Stegostoma tigrinum: one gene and its partners. The protein of the gene in region 2 interacts with the protein of the main gene of each other region in a pairwise test. Links are inferred from orthologs where the notes say so. Each region holds a gene or a part of one and is shown on either strand. Other genes may lie near its edges.

Region 1 (6,859 bases), on a different chromosome or scaffold from region 2:
GACTGGTGAATGGACCTGTCAAATTTCAAATCTAATGTTGGTCTTGCTTTTGTATACCTCCTGTGCAGCAGTAACTCTGTACTCCTCACTCTGTTGAATCACTCTATGATCTGTGCGTCCTTGTATGGTATGAGGTGCACGTACTGCAGGCAAAACAGAACTTTTCACTGTACTTAGGTGCACATGGCAACAATAAATCAAACCAAAAGGTTTGACTCATTAAAACACTTCCCTCTCTGGCTAGTTCCAGCACTTTGCAATTACATTGGGCAGATGGGTGGAGGAATTCAATCGAGGGTTTGAGATGTTCAAAGGGGCTGACAGAGAGAAATTATATTGTCTAGTGGTTGGGGTGGGGCGGGAACAGAATAAAATGGGAGTTGAGGTGAGGGAAAGCCAGGACGAGGTTGCGTCAGGATCAGAACTTTAAAAACGACAGCTAAGCCCTTCTGAGGAGATGTGACATCTTCTCCCTCAAGTCGAATGGGGTGGTTGGGGGGGTGGGCAGGATCTGGGTTTGGACCCAGATTGGCGGATTGCGAGCAACAGGTAGGTTGAGGGATGTGGCTTGGTGACAAGAGACCAGAGCCTGAGGAGCTGAACATGCCTTGCCCCCAACTTCTACAACCCACACCTCCTCCGCCTGTACACAGCCAGACTTGAATCCTCACACCTGCACTTACCTCTTTGACGTCTGCAGTCTTCTTGGAAAAGATCTGTAGTTGGGAGTGGGTGTAGAAAGAACAAACAGTACAGGTCACAGAGGTGTAGTGTAGGAGTAAACACACTTGCTGAGGCATCCCCAAATGCAGATAACCAACCCACTAGCTGTGAGGAATCACAGTCCCCTGCCAAACATCCCACTTCACGCTGCTATTAAAGGTTCCTGTCCGTCAGTCAGCACACCTCTGCATTAGGGACTTCCGATGGACCGAGAGCTCTATCGAGCTCCACCCCCCCCACCACACCCACCCCCCAATACACACTATCCTCAAGGCTCTGGGAACAAAAGCAAAGAGGTGCACTTCTGTATTGCCTGTCACTGTGCCACCACATTCCAAAACAGCACTTCCTTGTCAATGCTGACTTTCATGACAGGATGGATGCCACTGGAATGGAGAAAATGCAGCAGCCGAGTAGCCCACAGCAAGCTCCCCCAAATGGTGTCACAGAAGTCACCAGGCCACGTGTTTTTCAGTGATGTTCATTATGGGATAAGTATCGGACTCTGGACACTGCAGAGAATTCTTCGCAATCCCGTCCGATCCTGCTCTCCTTCAATCACAGCCAAACGATTATTCACATCCTTCCACGAGCTGTTAAACATCTTCGATCATTACACATCACAAGGGCAGTGCTGGCACAGACAGCAACGCTCGGGAACAGCCTATCCGCTCCAGTTGAGCGGCATTCTTCTTCTCCCTCTCTTTTTTGTCTTTTCTTCACCTTCCCAACACCACGAGAAGGCTACAACAGCGTGGGGGGGTGACTCCTGGCTCATAGGGCCCAATGCCCGGACACCTGGAATTGGCAGGGCATCAACAATGGGAGAACGAAGGCGCCTGGCTGCTGTAGGCCTGGAACGCAGACTCCTTCCGCAGCAGCAGGTCATCAACTGAGGCTGCAACTGGTGACGAGCGTAGAGACTCCAGGCCGTGGGAGACCCAGATCAGGGACTGTACAGAAGTCCTGGAGCAGTGTTTCGGACCCTGGCCAATGAAGGTGAACTCGATCTAATTACGTCCTTTTTATTCTTAACAATCGTGCCAGAGTGTGACGACATAAAATGTTTCAGTGTCTCCCGAGATGTATGTGACAAAAAATCAATCATTTATCTCATTTGAGAACTGGCACTTCAACAGCACGGCGTCCCCTCGGCGCTGACCCCACCGACAGCGCGGCGCCCAACCCACCGACAGCACGGCGCTCCCTCGGCGCTGACCGTCCGACAGCGCCCGCTCCCTCGGCGCTGACCCTCCGACAGCGCCCGCTCCCTCGGCGCTGACCCTCCGACAGTGTGGCACTCCCTCAGCACTGACCCTCCGACACTGTCCGCTCTCTCAGCACTGACCCTCCGACACTGTCCGCTCCCTCAGCACTGACCCTCTGAAAGTGCCCTCTCCCTCAGCACTGACCCTCCGACAGTGCCCACTCCCTCAGCACTGACCCTCTGAAAGTGCCCACTCCCTCAGCACTGACCCTCCGACAGTGCCCACTCCCTCAGCACTGACCCTCCGAAAGTGCCCACTCCCTCAGCACTGACCCTCCGACAGTGCCCACTCCCTCAGCACTGACCCTCCGACAGTGCCCACTCCCTCAGCACTGACCCTCCGAAAGTGCCCGCTCCCTCAGCACTGACCCTCTGAAAGTGCCCGCTCCCTCAGCACTGACCCTCCGACAGTGCCCGCTCCCTCAGCACTGACCCTCCGACAGTGCCTGCTCCCTCAGCACTGACCCTCCGACAGTGCCCGCTCCCTCAACACTGACCCTCCGACAGTGCGGCGCTCCCTCAGCACTGACCCTCCGACAGTGCCCACTCCCTCAGCACTGACCTTCCGACAGTGCCCGCTCCCTCAGCACTGACCCTCCGACAGTGCGGCGCTCCCTCAGCACTGACCCTCCGACAGTGCGGCGCTCCCTCAGCACTGACCCTCCGACAGTGCGGCGCTCCCTCAGCACTGACCCTCCGACAGTGCCCACTCCCTCAGCACTGACCCTCCGACAGTGCCCACTCCCTCAGCGCTGAGGGTCAGGCTGAGGAGTCACTTTGGTTAGGAAGGTGAGGGAGGGATGAGGTGTTGAGGTAAGGGGTTGGGGTTGGGTGCAGTGTCAGGGGTCCCAGGTAAGGGGTCATGTAGGCTCTCCTTACTTCCCCGCTGGTAGGTTGCAGTCTCCCCTTACCGTGACGGTGACCCGGTACTCGGTGTAGCCGTGTGGGTGCTGCCGCGGCTCCGTCACTCGGTACCGGACTTCGTCCGCCTTTCCCCTCCTCCATGACATCCTGAGTGCAGACCAGAGCGCAGGCGCTCCACCGGCCCCGCCCATCACCACTGGGGCGCAGCCACAGCACCGGGAGGAACCCTCCGCCGTTAGTGCGCAGGCGCAGAATTGAACACGCCCACTGCCGTGTGGGTGCAGGCGCACAGCAGGCCCCTCCCACAGCTGTCAGGGTCAATGCCAATTGCACTGTTCTATATAACCACCTTAGACTACACTCAGCTCCTTCACTCGCAATAACTTCCCAATAACATGTTTGCCCAGCTTCATCCCCATAAAGACACAAGGTGACCTCCAATTCAGCTGCTCAGCCCACTTCCCACTTTTTCCCACAGAATCAATGTACGGCATTCAGCCCATCGAATCCACACTGACCCTACCAACAGCACGCCTCAGTAACCCAAACCCCAACCCTAACCCCACCATCTTCCATGGTTAACCCACCTAGCCTGCACATCCCTGAACACTATGGGCCAATTTTGCATTGGCCAATCCACCTAGCCTGTACACGGGAAGGATTTGTATGTGGAGTTTGTACAGTCACCCGAGGATGGAATTGCACCCAGGTTCCCAGCCCTGTGAGGCAGCAGTGCTAACCCATAAGCCACCTTCCGTTTTTGTAGCTCCTTCCACATCCAATTGCATTACTTTGGAAGTGATGACAATTGATGGGTACATATTGAGCCCAAGATGCCAGGATCAGCCACTGGCCTTGGTATCTTTCCCACCTGCTTGTGAAGGCCGAATGCAACACGGTCTTTACAACATCAAAGATGGCACCTCTGACACAGCAGCACTTGCTCAGTCTTAGCCACACAAAAGTGGGTGCTGCAAATCAAAACTAAGAAAAAAAAATTGCCAGACCAACCCAAGGGCAGCCAGCAATGTTTGTGGAGGGAAGCAGTCTTAACATCGCAGGTCAATCAATAATCATTACATTGGATAATGCCCAAGAGTCTCCAAGGTTGGGTTTGAATCCACAATCTTACAACTTGGGAGAAAAATAATGGAACTGATGGAGCTTTGAGCATTGACTGGTGGAATCTGGGGCGGTGGGACTATGGAGGGTAAGTGAGAGTTTGATCATTGCTGGACAGGTACAAGAAGCAGAGTCCTGGAGACAGTTTGCAGAGGTACTCTAACGGAGCAAGCTCAGTGTGAGAGGTTTGAGTGAAATGGGGTGAGACAAGGTAATCACAGAGCTGGCAAAAGTATGAAGGACAATGGTCAAGATATTGAAGCGAAAGTCTCCCCCACTTACTGGGCTAAGCAAATTCCCCAGGAGAAGTCTCAAGCTTAGGAGCAGTCAGGGCCAGGGAGCTTGAGGGTGGAATGAGGTGTAGCATTTCTGTTAAAAGCTGCATTGGTGAATGGTATGGTGCCAACAGCACATTGGAGAAGGTACATAATATGGAATAATTCAACACAGAGGGACCATTCTGTTTTTCTTTAAATGTAATGTTCTGCACTGTAAAATAATTTAAACAAGAATGAAACAGAAAGACAATACAAACAAAGTCATCAGTGCATTTCCCACATCCTAACCACCACCACCTGGTGGGCTCAGGCCTCCCAACAGTTGCTGTGAAAACTGGGCTCAAAACACAAACAAGCAGCAAAACGCCAACAGGGCAAGTCCACAGCTTGTGTCAAGTGGCACAAATATCCACACCCGTGTAGAAACCGATTGGGCAGGGAGGTAAAGGGGAAGGGGTTGAAGAGGAAGGAGGGCTGAGATAAGGGACAGGGAGTAGAAGAAGGAGGTGGGTATGCAACAGGAAGAAGAAGGGGGAGAGAGAGGAGAGGGAGACAGTGGGAGAAATGAAGTGGCAGATGGGGAAGCAGAGGGATAGAAACAGCTAGATGACGGTGAACAATGAGGGAGAGATGGTCCTATTGCATCAGTAGAAGCATCCTGAACAGTGCTCAAGAGGTGAAAATGACCAACTTCAATAGTCATCAGATTTTGTAAAGGAAGCAATCCGGAACTGTGTCCCCATGTCCATCAGAAAAGATGTACATTTTAACAAAGTGAACATTTTCCCAGATGAAGACGCAGGACTCAGCATTTCTCTGCTCCCGACATTCAGGACGTTTGCCACCGTGCTCAAACTCTGCGTACACCCTCCAGTGCTCTCCCGCCTCTCAAAAATACAAACCAAACAGAGTGGGGATCAGACAGCCCGTGTGATGGTTACATTGTGATAGGCAGGGCTGCTGCTGTAGTGAGAGGGGGAGGAGAGGTGAGCGGGATGGTGGTGGTGGCGGTAGTGTCAGTCTGCAGTAAATATTCGGCAGGATATGTCGTCCATCAGCCAGTCAATTCCAACTAGCAAGTTCTCCCCTGTCACTGCGCTGCAGTCTCGAATACACCAGTGGTGGGTCTTAATACTGTCAAGGTCCAAGGCCTATGAAACCAAGTGGAGGTGGAGAAGGTGATTAGGAGGTGTAAAATAAAAATCTATCAACAACAATTTTCAATCATAGAAATACCACTTGCATAATGAGACATCCCAAACCAGGCACACCAAGCCATATCACGGTACAGTTTGACAGGAGGCTAAAAACCAGGTCAAAAGAAGTTGGATTAAAACATTCGGTGGTGGTGGGTGGTGGTGGTGGGAGGGGGGTGGGCAGGGGGGAAAGAGAACAGGTTTAGGAAGGGAATTCCAGAGCTTAGGTCCCCCAGGCTGCTCAACTGCCGAAATGGAAGTGTGATGGGAACTGAGGACTACTCAACCGGCCAGAATTAGAACACAGAGATCTCAGAGGGCTGTACGGGCTGGTTGAGTACCTCAGATTCTCTCTCCCTCCTGTTCATGGAAGCAAAGCTTTGTTTGGAAACTGAGTGACAGGAGACAAGAGAGAGCGTGTGGAAAAAATGAGCAGACCTGTCAGGAAGGAGATGAGGAGATGTTTCGACATGAGCGGGAGAGGTTTGGAACTCTCTTTCCACAAACCACAAATAATTCACGATGAATTGGTCATTTTTGATCACAATGACAAATATGTCAAGGGAGATGAGTCAAACAAGGGGAACATGGAGTTAGGTCACAGATCAACCACGGTGACTGGAAGCACACCATCATACAAGGATGAATAGTCTCCTGCCCTTCCAGTTCTCTTTGTGGAGCCTCAGGCAAGGCTGGCTCGTTCTGCATTTATTGCTTGTCCCTAGTCGCCTTTGAGAAGGTGGTGGTGAGCTGCCTTCCTGAGCCGCTGCAGTCCACATGCAACAGGTAAACAATGCTGTTAGAGAGGCAATTCCAGGATTTTGATCCCGTAACAGTGAAGGAACAGCCAATATATTTCCAAGTCAGTCCGTATCCTTCCAGATGAAGTGGTCATAGGTTTGGAAGGTACTAAGGTCCTCAGCAAATTTCTGCAGTGCATCTTGTAGGTGATACACACTGCTGCTACTGAGCGTCAGTGGTGAACAGAGTGGATGTGGTGCCAAATCAAAAGGGGCTGCTTTGTCCTGGATGGTGTCAAGCTTCTTGAATGTTGTTGGAGCTGCACCCATCCAGGGGCGAGTGGGGAGTATTCCCTCACACTCCTGAATTATGCTTTGTAGATGTTGGACAGGCTTTGAGGAGTCAGGAGATGAGTTACTCGCTGCAGTATTCCCAGCCTCTGACTTGCTCTTGTATCCGTGGTGTTTATGTAGTAAGTGCAGGTGAGTTTCTGATCAACGGTAAACCCCAGGATGTTGACAGTGGGGAGATTCAGTGATGGTTAACACCAAGGAATATCAAGGGGCAGTGGTTAGATTGCCTCTTGTTCGAGATGGTCATTGCCTGGCATTTGTGTGACACAAATGTAAATTGTCACTTTTCAGCCCAAGCCTGATTTTGTCCAGGTC
Region 2 (7,179 bases):
GCTTATAGCAACTTTCTCAAATGATACAGAATATATGTCGACTCCCTCAATATATTTAGGTAGTGAGCAAATATTTCTTACCAAATCACAAATTATTTAAACTCAATTCATGCTCAAGTCTCTCAACTACTCCTGGTTCATGTTATCAGGGCTGTTCTCTGTTCAGTTCAAACTTCCTGGCATCACTGTATCTTTGTTAATCAACACTTTTTTGATATTGCTAAAATGTGTCAAATCTCGTACTCATCTTAAATTTGCAGAATACCAATAAAGGAGAATCCAATATTTATACTGTTTGAAAGGAGAATCCAATATTTATACTGTTTGAAATGAGAATGGTGATTGATTGGCCAGAGTGCCTGATTGCCAGAGGCATTTCCATGGAGATCACACCAGTTAAAAAATAATGACTGATTGTTAACAGCCAAGCTTTATCTAAGTTTAAATCAGGCAGATTAGTCTGATTTCTGTGAACAATGCTTTGGCCAATGCATCAGGGAATGGCTGTCTCCTATTGTTGAGTTGAAACAAGGGCAGTGATAAAGCTCGCCAGTCTGGCTTATGATGTGGTGCACTGGCGTGTACTGCAAACTAAATATATTGACACACAATGCGATGTCCTTTTTAGATAGAAAGAACATGTGAATGCATTGCATCTCCTTCAATATCAATACATTTAACAACTGTAGCTTTTTGTTCCTTGATCCAAGTTATTGATACAAACTGTTTAAAAAATTAAGGCCCCAGCACTGATCCCTGTGAGAAACGAAACACTATATCTGGCCAAATGGAGAACTTATGTATACTGTTTTCTGCCAGGGAATAAATCCATGCCAATATACTGCCCCCCGCCACAACAACCTTTGATATTGCAATTTATCAACAATTTCTGGAAATGAAAGTACACTTTGTCCATTGCTTTCCCTTTAACCATAGCAAAAGGTTTTCTAAAATAAAAATGAACAAGGAGAGTGGGCAATCTCACACAAGCTTTGTAAACTGAGTCTATGATTCAATGACTTTATGGATAATCTACAGTATGGAAGCAGGCCATTTGACCCACTGAATCCACACTGACTGTCCGAAGAGCATCCCACCTACACTTACCTCCCACTACCCTATCCCTGCAACCCCACATTTCCAAGGCTAATCCACCTAGTCTGCACATCCTTGGACTCTCTGGGGCAATTTAACACGGCCAATCCACCCTAATCTGCATGTCTTTAGACTCGGGGAGGAAACCCACGCAGCCACAGGGAGAATGCCTGCGTGGAGTTTGCACAGTCAACCAAGGATGGAATTGAATCTGGGTCCCTGGCACTGAGAGGGAGCAGTAATGACCACCGTGACACCGTGAGATCCACCAAAATGACAGCACTAGAGCTTAGTGAAACCAAGAACTGGATGGGGCAACTGTGTGAAACAGCTTCCATCCCAGGTCCCTAGTGGAATGCAGGAGGGTTCTGACATACACAGCCCTCCACTGGAGAAGAACACAGTTCTCATTTCCTCCCCTTTTCTATCAAGATTTCACCCAAACAGAAATGACATTATACAATGTTGACGGCAGTGAGATTTTACTTCCTGCTGCTTAGATATTTTAATCACCCTCTTCAGCCATGTTCTAACACAATCTTAGAACATGGAAGAATCCAACTTTCAATAGAAGAGGCAGAGAGCCACACCTGCTCTCAAACCACTCCAAACCATTTCTTAAAGGGACCTGGGATCCTAACCGAGTGGGACTGTGAGCTGGGATATCCTGCCAGCAAAGGCTTCATGTGACTTCACCTGCCAGTCACCCCGCTTGCTTCGTCCTCTTTGGTTAGGGAGAACACGTCCTCAGGCTTCGAGCTCATGTTGTCCTGAAAGCACTCAGAGTGATGAGAACACCTGGAACAAAGAAAGACTGGAAAAGGGATCTTCAAAAGTAAAGTGATTGACTTTCACCAAAGTCAGGAAGACTAGAGATAACATCATAGCAATAAAATAGTTCACAGTGTCTAGGAATATCCCTATCCTATCGATCTGTCTATAATGGTCTGGTGGGACCTACAGCGTCTCTGTAGGATCTACACTGGGTCAAGCAGGTGTGTGCATGGCGAGTATGAGGTTTCTGTGCGGTCTCTGACAACTATGTGTCTATAGGTTGTCTAATGGCTTCTCAATAGGATGGCTATCCGGACCCACGAGGGGGTGGGCCACACCGGACAGACACGGGGGGGGGGGGGGGGGCAGCGCACACACGGGACCTACTCGGTGTTGAGGGGCAGCACACACAGGACCTACAAGGTGTTGGCAGGTTGGGGGGGGGGGGGGGGCGGTGTCACACCACAGCGACACGGGATCGATCGAGCGAGCGGGCGGGCGAGCGGGGGCACACGGGATCGATCGATCGAGCGAGCGGGCGGGGGCACACGGGATCGATCGAGCGGGCGGGGGCACACGGGATCGATCGAGCGGGCGGGGGCACACGGGATCGATCGAGCGGGCGGGCGGGGGCACACGGGATCGATCGAGCGGGCGGGCGGGGGCACACGGGATCGATCGAGCGGGCGGGCGGGGGCACACGGGATCGATCGAGCGGGCGGGCGGGGGCACACGGGATCGATCGAGCGGGCGGGCGGGGGCACACGGGATCGATCGATCGAGCGGGCGGACACGGGATCGATCGAGCGGGCGGGCGGGGGCACACGGGATCGGGGGCACACACAGGACCTACATGGGATTGGGGTGGGGGGGGGCCGACACACGGGATCTATGGAGAACCAATAGAGAGTACCGTGGAACCCACAGAGTATTTTTAGATGTACACGGGGTTTATAGGGAGTGTGTACAGGAGATCCATATGGTCTCTACAGGGTATACACGGTATTCACAGGCTGTGGGCAATAATATAAATTCCTACCGGCTTCGCTTTCTTCTTGTGACCCGTTGGCAAAGGATATAGCGTCATAGGCTTTTCTGATTCTATTTCCTCTACCAGAAACGGCCCGTGTCCAGTCTCTTGACCAATCAGCGATCGGTATCTAAGCTTCGGGCGACGGATGACCCAATGAGAGGCGGTATCTGGGCGCAATACAATCGGGCACCCAATTAGAGGGCGGTAAACAAGAGGGAACCCGCTCACCGATCGGTATCTGGGCGGAACGTAACGGGACATCCAATCAGAGAGCAGTATCCTGGCGGTATATAATCGGACACCCAATTAGAGGGCGCTTTTCATAGGCGGGTGTGGCTTTCATGATTTGGGGAGGTGGGATCACTGCCGGATCAAAACAGCACTTGAAATTGCCTCTACTGACCAATCATTACTTTTTTTTAAGATTCCCTCCAGTGTGGAAACAGTCCCTTCGGCCCAACAAGTCCACACCGCCCCTTGAAATATCCCACTTGGACCCATCCCCCTATAACCCACACACCCCTGAACACTATAGGCAATTTAGCATGGCCAGTCCACCTAGCCTGCACATCTTTGGACTGTGGGAGGAAACCAGAGCACCCGGAGGAAACCCACGCAGACATGGGGAGAATGTGCAAACTCCACACAGATGGTCGCCTGAGGCTGGAATGGAACCCGGGTCCCTGGTGATGTGAGGCTGCAGTGCTAACCACTGAGCCACCGTGCAGCCCCTATTGATGCTGCTTGGCCCCCCCCCCCCCCCCCCCGTGCCAATCAGCTCCACACCCCGACACCCCAAGTCCAGCCCCCCCCACCTCCTCCCCAGGAACCAGCCCCAGTCCCACCAGCGGCCACTGTCCAAACCCGGTTCAGCTAAATATCACAATCTACTGTTGTATAGATGGGGAGAATGGAACATTCTGACAATATTGCATTTTGGTAAAACGAACAAGGGTGGAACTTATACAATTAAAAATAGGGTGTCGGGTAGTGTTGTAGAACAGAAGGACCTAAGAGTTCAGGTAGATAATTCTATGAAGTTTACATCACATATAGAAAGGGTTGTTAAGAATATGTTGGGCACACTTGCCTTCATTGCTCAGTCCTTTCAGTATAGGAGTTAGGATATTACGTTGAGGTTGTACAAGATGTTGATGAGACCCCTTTCAGAGTACTGTGTCCAGTTCTGGTTGCCCACTTATAGGAAGAATGTTGATAAACTGGAGAAGGTTTAGGAGAGATTGACCAGGATTTACTGGGATTGGAGGGTTTAAGGAGATGCTGGAACAGCTTTACTAGACCATAAAAAAGTTTATAAAATCATGAGGGGTATAGATAAGGTGAATGACAGGGGTTTCCCCGAGGCTGGGGTATTTCAAGACTATGGGACATTTTTCAAAGTGAGAGGAGAGAGATTTAAAAGGAATACAAAGGGCAACTTCTTTATGCAGAGTCCATGTGTGGAACAAACTTCCAGAGAAAGCAGCTGGATGTAGGTACAGTTAAAATGTCTAAAAGACATATAGATAAGTACATGAATAGGAAAGGTTTGGAGGCCAAGAGCTGGCAGGTGGGACAAGTTTAGTTTGGGATTATAGTTGGCATGGACTGTTTGTTCCGAAGGGTGTGTGTCCATCTGAATGACTCAATTATTACAATTATCATTATATGCATGACACCAATCTGAGGATAGGTAGTAAATTCTTGCAGACTAAGTGTACACATGGGTTTAATATAAATGTTGTCGATAGTGTGGAATTTGGAAGATTCAGTGACAGTCATTCCAGGCCATGCATGCACGGAATTTGCCTTCAATTTCCACAACACACATTGTGTCCTCTCACTTATATCTAAAATGTACACCGTTAGCCTTGCTGTCTATTTTTTGATGTCTTGAAAATGAATTCTCCTCACAGTGGTGCAGTGGTGCCCCACAATGGTCTGAGAACGTTATTACAATGTGACATTCTGTAATAGGCAGCATACCTTGCAAGGATGGTGGTGGGTGGGACAGTTCAGGCCTTCTTTTCTAGGAGGAAGCGAAAGCCCTGAGACCATCCTGGGAAGGGACTGCACGCCGTGGTGAAGAGGAGGTGACTGGAGCCAGTGCACTGGAAATTCTGAAACTGACATAAAGCTTCAGAGGATTGTGGATGTAAATGGGAAAGGACTGGATAAAGGGAGGAAAAAATCAAGGTGAGGTTAGAAGAGATAAGTTCCATGGGCAGGAACAGGCAGAAACAATGGATCTACTGGGACAGTGCTGTTTGTGGATTTTAGTAAGAAGGCAGAAGGAGGATCCCAGGCAGCAAAGACAAGTTGGCCTGAGTGGCCTGTTTCCATGCTTTATGGATGTGTTTGGGGGCTGTATGCTTGGAGTCTTTGGGGGGAGAAATTCTCCGGATGAGATGAGGTTAGTAACTGTTGGGTGGAAAGACTCATTAATCACTTAGCACCCAGATTCTGCTTCCAGCATCAAATAATTTATTGAAGTTACACCAGTGGGAAGAAATGGTGGGATGGGGGGGGGGCGGTGTCAGAGCTTTCTCATTGAACAAAGGGAAGACATAAACTTTTATACATTTGCTTTAGACCTGCATTTGGTAATTAAAGACCAATCATATTATTAATTAATTACAACTCCCAAATTAATCATGTGACTGTATGGTCAGTGACGGGCAGCCTCATTGACAACCCTTGGTCTGCCATGATCCCAAGGTGTTTCCCAGATACCTTTATCTCTATCCTTTGCCCATCCCCAACACAGCACACTTGCCTTCATTGCTCAGTCATAGAACATAGAACATAGAACATTACAGCACAGTACAGGCCCTTCGGCCCTTGATGTTGTGCCGACCTGTCATACCGATCTCAAGCCCATCTAACCTACACTATTCCATGTATGTCCATATGCTTGACCGATGACGACTTAAATGTAGCTAAAGTTGGCGAATCTACTACCGAGTATTGCAGTTAGGTCATTATGTTGAGATTGTACAGGGATTTGGTGAGGCTGCTTTTGGAATACTGTGTCCAGTTCTGATTGCCCTGTAATGGGAAGGATAGTATTAAATTGGTAGGGTTCTTAAGAGATCTACCTACCAGGATGTTGCCCGAAATGGAGGGTTTGAGTATCAGGAGAGACTGATAGGCTGGGGCTTTCTTCACTGGGGCATAGGTAGTTGAGAGGTGACCTTTTAGAAGCTTACAAAATAATGAGGGGTATAGATAAGGTGAATGGCAGGTTTTTTTCCACCTTGGGGGGTGGGATTTCAAGACAAGAGGATATATTTTTAAGGTGAAAGGAGAAAGACTTAAAAAAGACATGGGGGTAACTTTTTTACACAGAACGGTTTATGTAGGGAATGAACTGCCGAAGGAAGTGATGGATGTGGGCACTGTTATAATGTTTAAAAGACATTTAAATAAGTACATGAATAGGAAATGTTTGGAGGGGTATAGGCCAAGTGCAGGCAGGTAGGACTAGTTTAGTTTGGGGTTACGTTCGGCATGGAATTATTTAGAGTCTATTTCCATGCTCTATGACTCTATGCTGTATTTAACTACATTTCAATACTGTTGACTTCTACACCTGATGTTGAGGTACTGGTGTTGGATTAGGGTGGACAGGATTAAAAATCACAAATGCAAATTCAACCCAGGAATCTCAACTGTGCCCCATGGTTCTAGACTCCCCAACTAGGAGGAACGAGCTCTGTGCATCAAGTGCAGGAACAGCTCGCCAGCATATTCCGCAGTGGAGAAAAATAAGCAATTACAGAGCCAATGACGTATGTTCAGTGATGGTAATTATTTCAAAACCCTATGGAGAGTGGGCCAGAGTGAATTCCTGTAAATTTCATCAGTGAACTAGAGCCTGGAAAAATTAGCAATTGATAAATTGTTAGTGAAATTAAACACTGAGGTTGTAGGACTGCTCTCTTGCTCTTGTGCCACTATTTCACAGGTCACAACATAAAATAAAACTGTCTTGTCCAATTACCAAGACAGTGAATTAAATATTTTATCGATATCGGGCTTTAAATAAAAAGGTCTATCAACCAGGCTTTTTAATAAATGGATTTGTTATCAAAACAAAATTTATTCAATAAAGATCCAATAATTTGTTAATGTATGCAGCCAAAAGTGTCAAAATATACATTGTTATTCAGATAATGACCCGTTAACTCTGCCTCCTCCCTCCTAACAAAACCCCAACACATGTCAAGGGGTTATCTCCAATTCCTTGGGCTTTCATTTTTGCTAACAGTCTGTCA
Region 3 (7,252 bases), on a different chromosome or scaffold from region 2:
CTCTCAATCCTGCTAACAAAGGATGTTATCTATTGATTTAATTATAGAATCCCCTAAAACTACCACTTTTTTTTTGCTCCCCCCTCTGGAATGGCCTCCTGTACCACACTGCAGTGGTCAGTTGGCTCATCCTCCCCACAGCCCTTTTCCTCATCCACACAGGGAACAAGTACCTCGTTCCTGTTGGACAGGTCAACAGCTGAGGCTCCTTTGTTCCTGAATACATGATCCCTCTACCTGCCACACTTGCAGTCACCCCCGACCACTCACCAAATTTGAGGTTCTTAATCTAGGTGTGACTGCCTCCTGAAAGAAAGCAGCCAGGTAACGCTCTCCCTCCCACATGCAATGCAGTGTCCAAAGCTCAGACTCCAGCTCAATTCTGAGCCAAAGCTCCTCCAGCAACCAACATTTGCTACAGATGTGATCACTGCAGCTTGCAATGGGATCCACCAGCTCCCACATCATACAGCTACAACACAAATAGGGCAAAAGAGGAGAAGAAGTGAAGAGCAATGACAACAAGATCAAAATGGGGCTGAAGGTGACAGCAACATTTAGCTTCCTGGCCGCAAATTCCTTTCACACTTCAATTATGGGCTTGTATGGCACCTCTGAACTGGCAGCCCACAAGTTCATTCATGGACTTACTGAAGCTCTATCCAGGGAAATAATTCAGTTTGCCCTATTCATCAAGGCCTCAGACAGCCTAGCTGCCCAAGCAGTGAGATTTGCATTCATTGCCATGTTACACACCAGGTACAAGAGGCAAACACCCGCCCACCTTGGTACTCAGTGCTCCCTGGCAGCCAGCCAGATTTCTGAACAGGAAGTGATTTCATTCCCTCAATATCCAGGTTTTTGTGATCACAGACAATAATTCCTGCAGGTGTGCTTTGCAATGCAGGAAACAGTCACATCATTTATATCTTCTGTAACCCTCAGGTTCTTGGAATGTTCCCTCCCTAATACTTCAAACATCATCTCTAGGGCAGTCTCATGGGTGATAAAACATATCTCCATTGAGAATAATCTGACTAGAAGACCCTTGAACTAATAATGGTGAACAGCAATAAAATGCTACCCATGCATTCACTGAAGCCATAAGTGAGCAAACAAATGATCTTCTCCATACGTAGCTGGAGTATCCAGTCTTCTCTGGACAGAGTCTCCAGAGCAGAGAATGTTTGTTACATAATGCATAATCTAGCTCAATAACAAAGTGAGAATTTAGAAAAGGGGGAAATGCAGAACCACCTGACTCCTCCAGATGAGGAAGAAGTGGAGTCTGATAGAGATGTTGAGGATGACAATGTTAATGTTGAGAAAGCCAAGGCATTTGTGAGATGAGGTAGACAGACCAACAAGAGCCATTGTATATTGTTTGTTCCCTTTGCACCAATCAACTTCTGTTCACTTTGATGACCAAGGCATAAGAATGGTGTTCTGTGGGCTTAAATGAAGGCCATGCTTGTATCACACAAACCTTTGTCTGCAAGCGGTATTTACCTGTCACAGAGATGAAAAGGGGCAACACTGTGCTAACTAATTCAGAAAATAATGGTGTGGCTTGCCTGCCCACTTCCCAGAGGGTTTTCTCCTCCCAAGTATGAGCTGGTGCTACCTCAACAGCATCAGCTGAGCTAGTGGATACCTGCAATATTATGCCTCCACCTACTCTGCTGGAAATGCTAGCCTTCTCCATGTCATCGACAAGTTGGGAGATGAGTCTTTCTCCCTCATGGGGAGGTTTGAGAAGAAGATATGACTTAGAGCGCTGGTGGGCCTCATTCTCACAGAAATATGAAGCCTGGCATCGTCATGAAAACAAGTTTCCCTTGGATTAGACAATATTCCGCCAATGACGAAGGGAACTAGAATTATCACAAAGGAAATGCAATTGGTCGATCGTGTGAAAATCGAACCTGGACAATGCGGGTTCCATAAAGCTTCTTACCTTAATTGTTTCTCCTTCTATATTCACCGGTTTCTCGCGAAAATCTACCCCAATGGTGGCTTCGGTCTTGTCGGGAAACGTCCCCCCACAAAACCTGAAGGTCAGACAAGTCTTGCCAACGTTGGAGTCCCCGATTACAATAATTTTAAATATTCGCGCTTGCACGGACAGTTCCAAAGAAGATTCATAATCAGTAGAGACCTTCTTCGACCCGAATCCCCGGGAATCGCCATTCGCCGTCAACTGCCTTGCCATATTGGAATCTTCTTTGTATTATTCACGAAAGCTGAAACAAAATCTCCGCAATGGAAAAAAAATTCTCACGCTCCAGAAGGAATACGGCCGCCCTTATCTAGCGGTGATACCGCAACCGGCTGTCAAATAAAAAGACTGAACATCAAAAATTATATATACAACACTCGGATCGGGGCTGAGGCTGTCTGAATCAGCATTGTCAACTGCAGGGCGAAGCTTGTCGTCTTCAGTGTGGAAAGAATGGGAGTGATGATAAGCCTGGAGATGTTATGGGGCTGCTCCCCTGTTCATTCCCTCTCGCTGTGAAAGCTGTTGTGTGTGTGTGTGTATGTGTTCCCTGGTGCTGATTAATGGGGCCACGCAGTAACCGACAAGGTGAAATTGACGCAGTGATGATGGCAGAGCGCCAACAGCGGGACAAAGCACTGTTCCCAGCACAAGGCACCCGTCACTCGTCACTTAAATATAACGTCTCCCTGTGCTATGCAAAGCATTCTAAATAAGCGATCTTCTTTCTTTCGTGCAAATTGTACTTTTAATTACTACAATGTCGTAATTAGTATAATTCGATTTCTTCACTTCTCACACTCGTCCTTATCACTTAGATTCTTGTAAACTGTGAACCTCACTGGGATTGTCGTCGGACTAAAGTGAGGATCATATGTCCTATGTCCATACCTAATTCGGACCAGCAATATTGACCGCCAGGGCAAACCTTGGTTGATTTTCCAGCCCTCCTTCATTGATCAGGGCATCAAGGTTATTTGTTGAAATTGCAAAAGGTGTTCCCTGATGGGATCGGCAGCTCAGCCCACGTCCAGACTAGAAATGAAATTGCTTTGCTGCCACCGCGGGTAGATAACATTGAAATAACGTCGCGCAAATAGAAAAGTTGCTCAGGCAACGCAGAGGTGAAGACAATGTACACAAAGCTAAAAATGGAGGAGAGATTTTGAAGGACCAAAAGCATGTGAGGATGAGATGAATTCTCAGGAGGACGTTAAAGGGTAATAAATGACAAGAGATGTGAACACTTCAGGCAAGAGATACATTGAGGCATTTAATGTTGCTTTAGTTTAAGCTCGTTCATTTAGTTGTTTTAAAATTATCATTCCTATAATGACAATCTGGTCAGTTAATGTCTATATTGAGAGAAAGTTAAGAATAGTATTCCTGGTATTTAGTACTGGATACATTGCCTCTTAACAAATAATGTTTCCGAGCCATTACATATGGAGTGCACCTAACATGGAAGCAATAACATGCGGTTCCTTTGATGGTCTCTTTAAAATTGTGCTGTGGCTCACAAGACAGAAATTCTCAGTAATAGACAAAATATATTTTTATTAATGGAGAAACACCAGCTAGATCAAATCAAACTTAATAATGTACAAAATAGCACGCGAAACAAGCTAACTACAATGGCAATAACAGCAAAACACTTAATAAAAAGACGAAAGATATTTGGGGATAGTAGGAACTGCAGATGCTGGAGAATCTGAGATAACAAGGTGTAGAGCTGGATGAACACAGCAGGCCAAGCAGCATCAGAGGAGCAGGAAGGCTGACGTTTCAGGCCTCGATCCTTCTTCAGTGTGATAACGGCTGCAAGCTGTAGGGAGATTCACAGTCCTTACCACTGGAACTGGATCTACCTACTGGCAATGATCTTGTGTGTGCTGATGCGCAACAGCATGGCCACGTTAAAAAATCTTTCTGGACACTCATCGGCAAGCGGAAATATGGAAAAGGAACCTGAGAAAGGAATGCCAGCAATTTCAAGAACCAATTCCACTTCCTAGAGATACCTGCCAATTGTGTAGTTGGTGATGTTTCTGTAGGATCGGGCTCATCAGCCACACTGACACCCACCTATAACCAGTCACACGGAATTTCCTAGGTGGACAATCATACGTGTTAGTAAGTGATAACTGATGACAACGACAAAAACAAAAGCTGAAATAAAAACAGAAAATATGAAATATTCACACGGGAGGAGAAAATAGAATTAATCAGATAGAGAGTTAATAGAGAACAATGACAATTCTTTCTTTGTGGATATTGTCCTGCTGTCCTGCTAACTATTTCTAGCATTCTCTAAAGAGCAAAGGTACTTGGATCTGTGCACTAAAGTAGTGCTAAACAAAAGGGAGGGCTCACGGCCGGCAAAGACTACACAGCACTGCTACGATCACTGTCAGCTACTATACTAAAGAAAACTGTATACAGTTAAGATATTGAAATGTAAATTAATCACATAGGGTTAGGGTCATTGATTGATTAATTGTCATGTGTACTGAAATATAGTGAAAAGTTTTGTTTGAGTGGGACAGAGATCACAGCAAGCAAAGGATGTACAGATCAAGAGACAGTAGGAACTGCAGATGCTGGAGAATCTGAGATAACAAGGTGTAGAGCTGGATAAACACAGCAGGCCAAGCAGCATCATAGGAGCAGGAAAGCTGACATTTTGGGCCTAGGCCCTTCTTCAGAAAATGTCTTACAGGCATACAGGTTACATTGCAGGCTATTTGAGGCTAGAATCCATTTAACAGTCTGATAACGGCTGGAATGAGGTTGTTCATGAACCTGCTCATTCATGTGTTCAGGCTTCTATATCTTTTGCCTGATGGAGGAGGTTGTAGTAGATCATTACTGCGTCATTGGACGTCTTTCTGCTTGCAGTGAGCTATGTAAATAGAGTCCATGGATGGAAGGTTGGCTTCTGTGATGATCTGGACTGGGACACCATCTTCTGTAGTTTGTTATAGTCCTGGGCACAGCAGTTGCCATACCAGACTGTTATGCACTCAGACAGTATGCTTTCAATGGTGCACCTGTAGAAGTTGGTGAGGGGCATTATGAACATAACAAATTCCTGAGCCGCCTGAGGAAGAAGAGGCATTGTTGTGCCTTCTTGACTGTCGCATTTACATGGGGAAGTGCAGGACAGGTCATCAGTTATCATCATTCTGAGGAACTTGATGCTCTTCTCTCTCTCAACCTCAGTTCCGTTGACATTGATGGGGGCAGGTTCTTTTTTTTCTGAAGAGGATGATCAGTTCTTTAGTTTTGCTGATGTTGAGGTGCAAATTGTTTTCATCGTAACACATCACAAAGCCCTCTACCTCCTTTCTGAATTTTGACTTATCGTTGTTAGACATCCATTCCACTATGGTGGTGTCATCAGCGATCTTGTGGATGGGCGGTCATTCAGAATTTGGCAACACAGTCGTAGATGTACAGGGAGTACAGTTGGGGGCTGAGGATGTATCTTTGGGCAGCTCTGGTGTTGAGTGTTATTGTGGAGGAGGAGCAGTTACTTATCCTCACTGATTGCGGCCTGTGGATCAGAAAGCTGACGATCCACACAGAGGGCAGAGCTGAGACCAAGGTCACACAGTTTTGAGATCAGCCTGGAGGGAATAGTGGTGTTGAAGTAGTCTGTAGTCAATGAGCAGGACTCTGACATAGGTGTCTTTGTTGTCTAGGTGTTCCAGGGATGAGTGCAGGGTTAGGGATGTGGCATCCTCTGTGGACCTTTTGTGTCAGTAGGCAAATTATAGGGGATTGGAGTCATTTGGGAGACTGGAGTTTTATTTTCAAACTAAGCAGAAAATCACTGCTGTCGCGGAGTTGGGAATAAAATAAAACTGCAAAGAAAAAAGGTGACAGGAGAGGACAGTGGCTATGAGAGTTGCTCTTTGTTTTGAGGTTATTTCTGTGCTCAGCTGCATTTACTGACTTTCCTGGGGCAGTAATTGCTATTTCTATAAATTTTGCATTGTTTTTGGAACTTTGTTTTAAATAGAGGGAACGAGAGACAGCAAACATGTGGCAAGATCAGCAATTGAAAAATTGCATAAGACTCCCTGACTGGCTTTTTAATCAAACAGCTGACCGAATATAGTTTCACAGTTGTCAGGCTGAGAAATTCCACAAAGGTCTGGAGATTGGTTTCACTTCCAGGTGAAAGATAACAGGGATGTTAAAAACATAATTATGACCATAGAATCCCCACAGTGTGGAAACAGACCCTTCAACCCAACAAGTCCACACTGACCCATCTCCTATAACTCACCTAAGCTCCACATCCCTGAACACTACAGGCAATTTAGCATGGCCAATCCACCTCACCTGTATATCTTTAGAATGTGGTAGGAAACCAAAGCATCCAGAGACAAGGGAGAATGTGCAAACTCCACACAGTCACCTGATGGTGGAATTGAACCCAGGTCCCTGGTGCTATGAAGCAGCAGTGCTAACCACTGAGCCACTGTGCCAGCCATGTTATTTGGTGCAAATGGTTTTAGAATCACTGAATCCCTACAATACAGAAAGAGGCCATTCAGCCCATCAAGTCTTCACTCAGCCAAGACTGGAATTGAACCCAGATCCCTGGTGCTGTGAAGCAGCAGTGCTAAACACTTAGTCACTGTACCATTCGCTAAGTGAAGCAAGAAACCTAGGCTCGTCTGGGAGTCGAAGCCAGGACCTCTTGCATATCCACCCTGTACAGTACTCTAAGTGAGGATCGTACCCCTCGACCAACAAGCCATGCCCTAAATAACATACCTACAACAATATAATTGAATAAATTGCACCACGCCATAGTTTGCCTCATGCATTTCTTATCTCACTTAGACTCCCTACAGTGTGGAAACAGGACCTCCAGCCCAACAAGTCCACAAAGACTCTTTGAGCCTCCCAGTAGACCCATCCCTGCTAATGTACACATCCCTGAACACTATGGGGAATTTAGCATGACCAATCAACCTAGCCTGCACATCTTTGGACAGTGGGAGGAAACCCACACAGACAAAGGGAGAATGTGCAAACTCCAGTTGCCCAAGAGTGGAGTTGAACGCAGGTCCCTGGTGCTGATGGGCAGCAGTGCAAACCAGAGCCACCTTGCCACCCCGCCACCCCATCTATACCACTAGTAATTAGTACAGCATAAGGCAGTAAAGTCTTCACCATAATCAGTCACCCTTGAGCACTTCAACCTCCTTGAAGTGTTTGTTATAGTGGCAATGTAGT
Region 4 (7,236 bases), on a different chromosome or scaffold from region 2:
AGTATTGGATATTCCTTGGCCCAATAACCAGGGCTCAGTACTCTCAGGGATGGGTCCTTTGTGCTCAGGGCTGAACCTGGACGCTCTGGGTCAGGCACAGCACTGGAGCTTGTGATTCCTGCTTGGTGGAAGCTGTCTGTCAGTCTGCTGATGACCGAGAGTAACCCCATGGATAGTAATTGGTCACACCGCCCTGTCAGTAAGTGAGCAAAATGTACTTGCAATACCAACTCTATAATAAAGCAAAGTAAAATGGCTAGTTTATGGATAATGACAGGCATTGGTGAGCCCCTGAATATGGGGAAATCAAGTGATTGAAAGGGCAGAAAAATTGTGGAAGAATGGTTTCCACTCGTGTATTTAAATGAATTGAATACATGGATACATTTTGCTTGACATCTCTATTGGTGTTATCCAATAAAAACTGGTGGGCAGCTTGAAATTACCTCTTGTATTATTTTCTCATTTAATAAATTATTAAGCTTTGTTTTCATTGTTCAACATCACTGAAGTCCTTAATTAAATTACTACTTATGTAATTTACTCCCACTCTCACTACATCCACTGGATACTGCATTGGTGTCTCACTGGGTGTTTTTATAAGTTACTGAATAATTTTGTTTAGATTGTCAGTCTGACATTTGATTTCATTAACTGGCAGTGGAGATAAAATAGGCCCTGTTCCAAACTGATCAAGCTCAGCCTGAAGATATTGCAGATAATGGTATGGAAGTGGTAAGAAAACACACTCACGTCCCAGTCACTGTTTGTTGTGAGCACTGTCAGCTCTGCTGTGAAGTTGTCACTGTGATTTAGAATGAGATTCCATCCTACAGTGAGGCAACGAAGCATGTACCATTTTAGCCTTTTGGGTTTTCAACTTAGTGCAGCTTTGAGACCAACTGCACTATGATGCTGAGGCTTTTTTTCTATTCATTTGTGAGGTGTGGACGTCGCTGGCTGAGCCAGCATTTCTTGCCCATCCCTAGTTGCCCTTGAGAAGGTGGTGGTGAACTGCCTTCTTGAACCACTGCAGTCCTCCTGCTGTAGGTTGACCCACAATGCCATTGGTTGGGGTGGGGGATGGTGGAATTCCAGCATTTTGACCCAGTGACGGTGAAGGAACAACGATGTATTTCCCAGTCACGATGGTGAGTGGCTTGGATAGGAACTTGAAGGTGCTGGTGTTCCCATATATCTGCTGCCTTTGTCTTTCTAGATGGATGTGGTTGTGGGTTTGGAAGGAGCTGTTGAAGGATCTTTGGTGAATTTCTGCAGTGCATCATTCAATGTTCGATAAGATCATTGTCACTAGATTAATAATCCGGAGGCCAAGACTAAAGCCCTGGTAGTGTGAGTTTACATCTCACCCTCGTGAGAAATTGAATTTAAATTCAATTCATGCATTTTGTTTTAATTAAAGAAGTGCTGGAATTGAAAACTGGTTTCAAAGATGTAACCATGACATTATCAGTAGTTGGTGTAAGAAATCCATCTGTTCATTAATGTCCTTCAGCGAATGAAATCTGCCACCCTTACCTGTGATTTCAGAGCCACAGTAATGGGCTTGACTCCAAATGTCCTCTGAAATGCCTGAGCAAAAAAACTCAGTCATACCAAACCAAAAACAAGTCAAAGAATGAAAGTGGATGAACTACCTGCTTTCAATGTTAGTTTTGGAAAAACAGAACACCTGCCCTGCCCACCCTACAAAGCCCTAATTACAGAGTTTCTGCAACAATTTGGAGAGCTGTCCTCCACAGAAAGACAGGGTAACAAAGTGTGGAGCTGAATGAACACAGCAGGCCAAGCAGCATCTCAGGAGCACAAAAGCTGCTTGGCCTGCAGTGTTCATCCAGCTCCACACTTTGTTATCTTGGATTCTCCAGCATCTGCAGTTCCCATTATCACGCCACAGAAAGACAATTGGGCAGGTTGGCTGATTCACACTGCTTTCTGGGTACCACAGGAATTAAGTTCTAGGCAATCAATTGATACTGTTAAGTGGTAAATTAGTGACTAGTTTATGGGCCTGTACATTGTTACCACCCTGATTATCACTTGTTTCCAGAGGACAAGAATCATAGAATCCCTACAGGACAAAAAGAGGCCATTTGGTCCATCAAGTCTACATCCTCCGCCAAAGAGCATCTCACCCTGTCCCCATACCGTACATTTCCCATGGCTAACCCACCTACTCTGCACACCCCTGGACACCGTAGAAAATTTAGCATGGCCAATCCAACTAACCTGCACATCTTTGGACAAGGAGAGGAAACTAGAGCGCCTAGAAGAAACCCATGCAGACACAGGGAGGACATGCAAACTCCACACAGGTGCCAGCACCATCATAAAATGTGCCCCCTAGTATCAGCTGTTCTGAACTTCCACATGGCAGTGCCACAGTAGTTTGTCCGACTGACGTGACCTCTGATTAGTCGGCAGTTTCACATGTGGGCAGGATATCACCAGGAAGGGATCCCAAAGGAAAGTCAACTAAGTGATAGGCGTGTGATCCAGTAGGCTTTCCCATCTGCAGTGCAGTAATGGGGATGGAGGGCATTTGGCCTGTTTTGATGGCTTCCACAACAAAAGCAGGAAATTCCACATAAGGACCTTTCGGTGAGGAAACTGAAGAAATGGAAGAATTCTTAAACTGGGGGTGGGGACAGGAAGAACACACGAGATCTGTGTAGTTCAGGAACAATCAGTAACCCTTCAGCCACAGAGACTGGTATTTGGTAAAATTAAGAATCAAAAATGTTCAAGGAAGTGACTTTTTAAAATATATATTATGATTTGATTTGATTTATTGTCACATGTACTGAGGTAGAGTGAAAAGTGTTGTTGTGCATGCTATACAGGCAGATCATACCATACAAAGTGCATCAGGCTAGCAGAACAGAGCGCAAAATACAGTGTTCTAGCCACAGAGAAGGTGTAGGGAGAGAATTAACATTTGAGAGGTCCATTCAAAAGTCTGACAACAGCGGAGAAGAAACTGTTCTTGAATCTGTTCGTATACGGAAACTTTCAGATCTGCTGCCAACAGGTGGAAGCGAGTATTTGATTATTTTGTTGTTTTCCCGAGGCAGTGAGAAGTATAAATCGAGTCAGTGGATAGAAGCTTGTTTGTATGATGGCCTGGGCTATGTTCATGATTCTGTGTAATTTCTTACGGTCTTGGGAAGAGCAAATGCCAAACCATGCTGTGATGCATCCATGTAGGATGTTTTCTGTGAAGTAGCTATAAAAATTAGTAAGAGTCATTGTGGACATGCTGAAATTTATTCGCCTCCTGAGGAAGGAGTGATGGTGTTGTGCTTTCTTGATCATCATGTTGACGTGGGTAGACCAGAGCAGGTTGTTGCTGATCATCACTTCCAGGAAATTGACACTCTTGAATATCTCCATCTCAGCATCATTGATGCAGGCAGGGGAGTGCCCCCCCAACTCACTTCCTGAAGTCAATGACCAGCTCCTTTGTTTTGCTGATGTTCTTCGAGAGATTGGTGTCTTTACACCACTGCCACCAAGCACTTACTCTCCTTCCTGTACTTTGTCTCATCGTTGTTTGAGATCCAACCTACAATGGTGGTGTTGTCAGCGAACTTGTAAAAGGAGTTGGGGCAGAATGTGGTCACACAGTCGTGAGTGTATCAGGTGTATAGTAGGAGGCTGAGTACGCAATCTTGCAGGACACTGGTGTTAAGGATTATCATGGTCCTCCATTGTGGTGTTGTTGCCTATTCTTACCGATTTCAGTCTATGAGTCAGCAAGTCAAGGATCCAGTTACAGAGTGGGGAGCCAAGACCTAGGTCTTGGAGTTTAGAGATGAGTTTATTTGGAATAACAGTGTTGAAGGTGGAGCTGTGTGCCAGAAGTAGGAGCCTGACTTAGGTATGTTTGTTATCCAGATGTGCCAGGGGTGAGTTTAGGGCCAAGGAGATGGCATCTGCCATGGACCCGTTGTGCTGTTAGATGAATTACAAAGGATGATTGCCCTGGAGCTTCAGCATAATGGTATCACAAGTATTCTACAGCGGCAAAATGATTTTTAAAAATTGTAAGTTTACTAGAGTCTGGAAAAGCTCATCAATTTTCATCAAAGGTATTTCAATTTTAGTATAAAATCTGTAAACCAATCAGGCTTGCTGTAATTCTACCTGTTTGAAATCAGAAGGCTGTGGTTTTGTGAGCTGGCCTCCTTTGCAAACATTCTCATTGTTTTGTGAGTAAGTAGAACCCTTAATGAATCAAACCACACCTAAAGTTTCAGGAAGTTGTGCTCAAAGGAGAAGGCTATTGTCAAGAAGTCTTCTCTGACTGAAGGAAAAATAAAAATCCCAAAACAGTGAAGGGAGAACAGATTTTCCGTGGTTTCTTTGTTCCATGTACGATTCCCTGTGGGCTGAAAGCAAGGCGTCAGTGAACGGACCTTAATGGTTACTTTCAGGTAGGATTTGAAACTTGTTGGCCTGGAAACACACCTTAGGCAGTTTCAGCTGGGAGTTGGATATGACGAGGGCAGTCAGTGTGGTAACCTGATGCTACTTGAGTAGTATTGCTGCTTTGCTCCATTTAAGCAGTGTCTGCTGACTTTTCAATAATGCTCTATACATGGTGCCAAAAAGAAATTATTTCTCAGGCTTGTGTTATGTCGAACATTGGTGAGCGTTAATTGACTTTTTGCTTTCTGATTAACCTTCATGATAATATCTTGAAGCATGACGTAAGTCGTACATTCTCATGTTTCATCCAAAACTATAAACCCATCATCCAGAAAAGGCTCAAATTTTTTTACATTTATGACAGATATGGGAGCGTTTTGTGTGTCCTCTTTATATGTTAACTATGGAACAATTTTTCTTTTGTTTTTAAATCTCAAATCCCAAACCTACACTTTTATTACCTCTAAACTTCAATGTTAATGGCTTCAGACTCATGAGATTTACAAACCATTTTTTGGTGGTCATGAGTCATTTGATACCCCAAAAGCATTACCAGTAATAATAGGGTTATGTCAGCAAGAATAACTAATTATGGATCAATACTTATACCTTGGGATGTGGAAGTCACCAGACCAGGCCTGGTATTTCTTCTCCGGCCCTAATTGCAGAAATTCTGATCATTTTATAAACCACAAGAGTTCTCAGAGTCTGCACAAACATTTGGTTGGAACTGACATTGAAACTGGAATGCAAACCATTTGAGGCGTGGCTTTACTTTTCAAAAAGCAGCTGTGGGAGAACTTGATCAGCTGCCTCTTAAAGAGGTACTGTACGTGCGAATTTCTTAATGCATTCATTTCCCAAATGTATGATGCAAACAGGGAAAACATACACGGAAGTTGTGTTTGAATCAGATCATTTGAAGTTAAGATAATAAAGTGTGAGGCTGGATGAACACAGCAGGCCAAGTGGCATCTCAGGAGCACAAAAACTGATGTTTTGGGCCTAGACCCTTCATCAGAGAGGGGGATGGGGTGAGGGTTCTGGAATAAATAGGGAGAGAGGGGGAGGCGGACCGAAGATGGAGAGAAAAGAAGATAGGTGGAGAGGAGAGTATAGGTGGGGAGGTAGGGAGGGGATAGGTCAGTCCAGGGAAGACAGACAGGTCAAGGAGGTGGGATGAGGTTGTAGGTAGGAAATGCAGGTGCGGCTTGAGGTGGGAGGAAGGGATGGGTGAGAGGAAGAACAGGTTAGGGAGGCAGAGACAGGCTGGTGATAATGGGAACTGCAGATGCTGGAGAATCCAAGATAATAAAATGTGAGGCTGGATGAACACAGCAGGCCCAGCAGCATCTCAGGAGCACAAAAGCTGACGTTTCGGGCCTAGACCCTTCATCAGAGAGGGGGTTGGGGTGAGGGTTCTGGAATAAATAGCGAGAGAGGGGGAGGTGGACCGAAGATGGAGAGAAAAGAAGATAAGTGGAGAGGAGAGTATAGGTGGGGAGGTAGGGAGGGGATAGGTCAGTCCAGGGAAGACGGACAGGTCAAGGAGGTGGGATGAGGTTAGTAGGTAGGAGATGGAGGTGCGGCTTGGGGTGGGAGGAAGGGATGGGTGAGAGGAAGAACAGGTTAGGGAGGCAGAGACAGGTTGGACTGGTTTTGGGATGCAGTGGGTGGAGGGGAAGAATTGGGCTGGTTGTGTGGTGCAGGTGGGGGGAGGGGACGAACTGGGCTGATTTTGGGATGCGGTGGGGGAAGGGGAGATTTTGAAGCTGGTGAAGTCCACATTGATACCATTGGGTTGCAGGGTTCCCAAGCGGAATATGAGTTGCTGTTCCTGCAACCTTCGGGTGGCATCATTGTGGCACTGCAGGAGGCCCATGATGGACATGTCATCTAAAGAATGGGAGGGGGAGTGGAAATGGTTTGCGACTGGGAGGTGCAGTTGTTTATTGCGAACCAAGTGGAGATGTTCTGCAAAGCGGTCCCCAAGCCTCCGCTTGGTTTCCCCAATGTAGAGGAAGCCACACCGGGTACAATGGATGCAGTATACCACATTGGCAGATGTGCAGGTGAACCTCTGCTTAATGTGGAAAGTCATCTTGGGGCCTGGGATAGGGGTGAGGGAGGAGGTGTGGGGGCAAGTGTAGCATTTCCTGTGGTTGCAGGGGAAGGTGCCGGGTGTGGTGGGGTTGGAGGGCAGTGTTGAGCGAACAAGGGAGTCACCGCTCGGTTCGCTATAAACAACTGCACCTCCCAGTCGCAAACCATTTCCACTCCCCCGCCCATTCTTTAGATGACATGTCCGTCATGGGCCTCCTGCAGTGCCACAATGATGCCACCCGAAGGTTGCAGGAACAGCAACTCATATTCCGCTTGGGAACCCTGCAGCCCAATGGTATCAATGTGGACTTCACCAGCTTCAAAATCTCCCCTTCCCCCACCACATCCCAAAACCAGCCCAGTTTGTCCCCTCCCCCCACTGCACCACACAACCAGCCCAGCTCTTCCCCTCCACCCACTGAATCCCAAAACCAGTCCAGCCTGTCTCTGCCTCCCTAACCTGCTCTTCCTTTCACCCATCCCTTCCTCCCACCTCAAGCATCACCTCCATTTCCTACCTACCACCTCATCCCACCTCCTTGACCTGTCCGTCTTCCCTAGACTGACCTATCCCCTCCCTACCTCCCCACCTATACCCTCTCCACCTATCTTCTTTTCTCTCCATCTTCGGTCCACCTCCCTCTCTCTCCCTATTTATTCCAGAACCCTCACCCCATCGCC

The links.
Region 1: the proteins of rabac1 (region 2) and snx15 interact in binary tests that used the Homo sapiens proteins (3 or more experiments, as listed by UniProt). The two-hybrid records come from large-scale screens. The link is inferred for Stegostoma tigrinum from reciprocal best matches to the Homo sapiens genes RABAC1 and SNX15.
Region 3: the proteins of rabac1 (region 2) and rab33a interact in binary tests that used the Homo sapiens proteins (3 or more experiments, as listed by UniProt). The two-hybrid records come from large-scale screens. The link is inferred for Stegostoma tigrinum from reciprocal best matches to the Homo sapiens genes RABAC1 and RAB33A.
Region 4: the proteins of rabac1 (region 2) and synaptotagmin-16-like interact in binary tests that used the Homo sapiens proteins (3 or more experiments, as listed by UniProt). The link is inferred for Stegostoma tigrinum from reciprocal best matches to the Homo sapiens genes RABAC1 and SYT16.

Annotation. Positions count from the first base shown.
Region 1 is NC_081395.1:12,627,342-12,634,200, forward strand, and holds the start of snx15 (sorting nexin-15), read right to left. Parts: upstream 3,008-6,859; 5' UTR 3,001-3,007; coding exon 2,902-3,000; intron 717-2,901; coding exon 684-716; intron 1-683. Other genes in the region: arl2 (ADP-ribosylation factor-like protein 2), read right to left, coding at 5,271-5,405. UniProt on the Homo sapiens protein: May be involved in several stages of intracellular trafficking. Overexpression of SNX15 disrupts the normal trafficking of proteins from the plasma membrane to recycling endosomes or the TGN.
Region 2 is NC_081394.1:16,169,435-16,176,613, forward strand, and holds the start of rabac1 (prenylated Rab acceptor protein 1), read right to left. Parts: upstream 3,019-7,179; 5' UTR 2,909-3,018; intron 1,910-2,908; exon of another isoform or gene 1,894-1,909; 5' UTR 1,860-1,893; coding exon 1,792-1,859; intron 1-1,791. UniProt on the Homo sapiens protein: General Rab protein regulator required for vesicle formation from the Golgi complex. May control vesicle docking and fusion by mediating the action of Rab GTPases to the SNARE complexes.
Region 3 is NC_081368.1:44,195,291-44,202,542, reverse strand, and holds the start of rab33a (ras-related protein Rab-33A), read right to left. Parts: upstream 3,025-7,252; 5' UTR 2,213-3,024; coding exon 1,958-2,212; intron 1-1,957.
Region 4 is NC_081363.1:29,171,337-29,178,572, reverse strand, and holds the start of synaptotagmin-16-like, read left to right. Parts: upstream 1-4,230; 5' UTR 4,231-4,457; intron 4,458-7,236. UniProt on the Homo sapiens protein: May be involved in the trafficking and exocytosis of secretory vesicles in non-neuronal tissues. Is Ca(2+)-independent.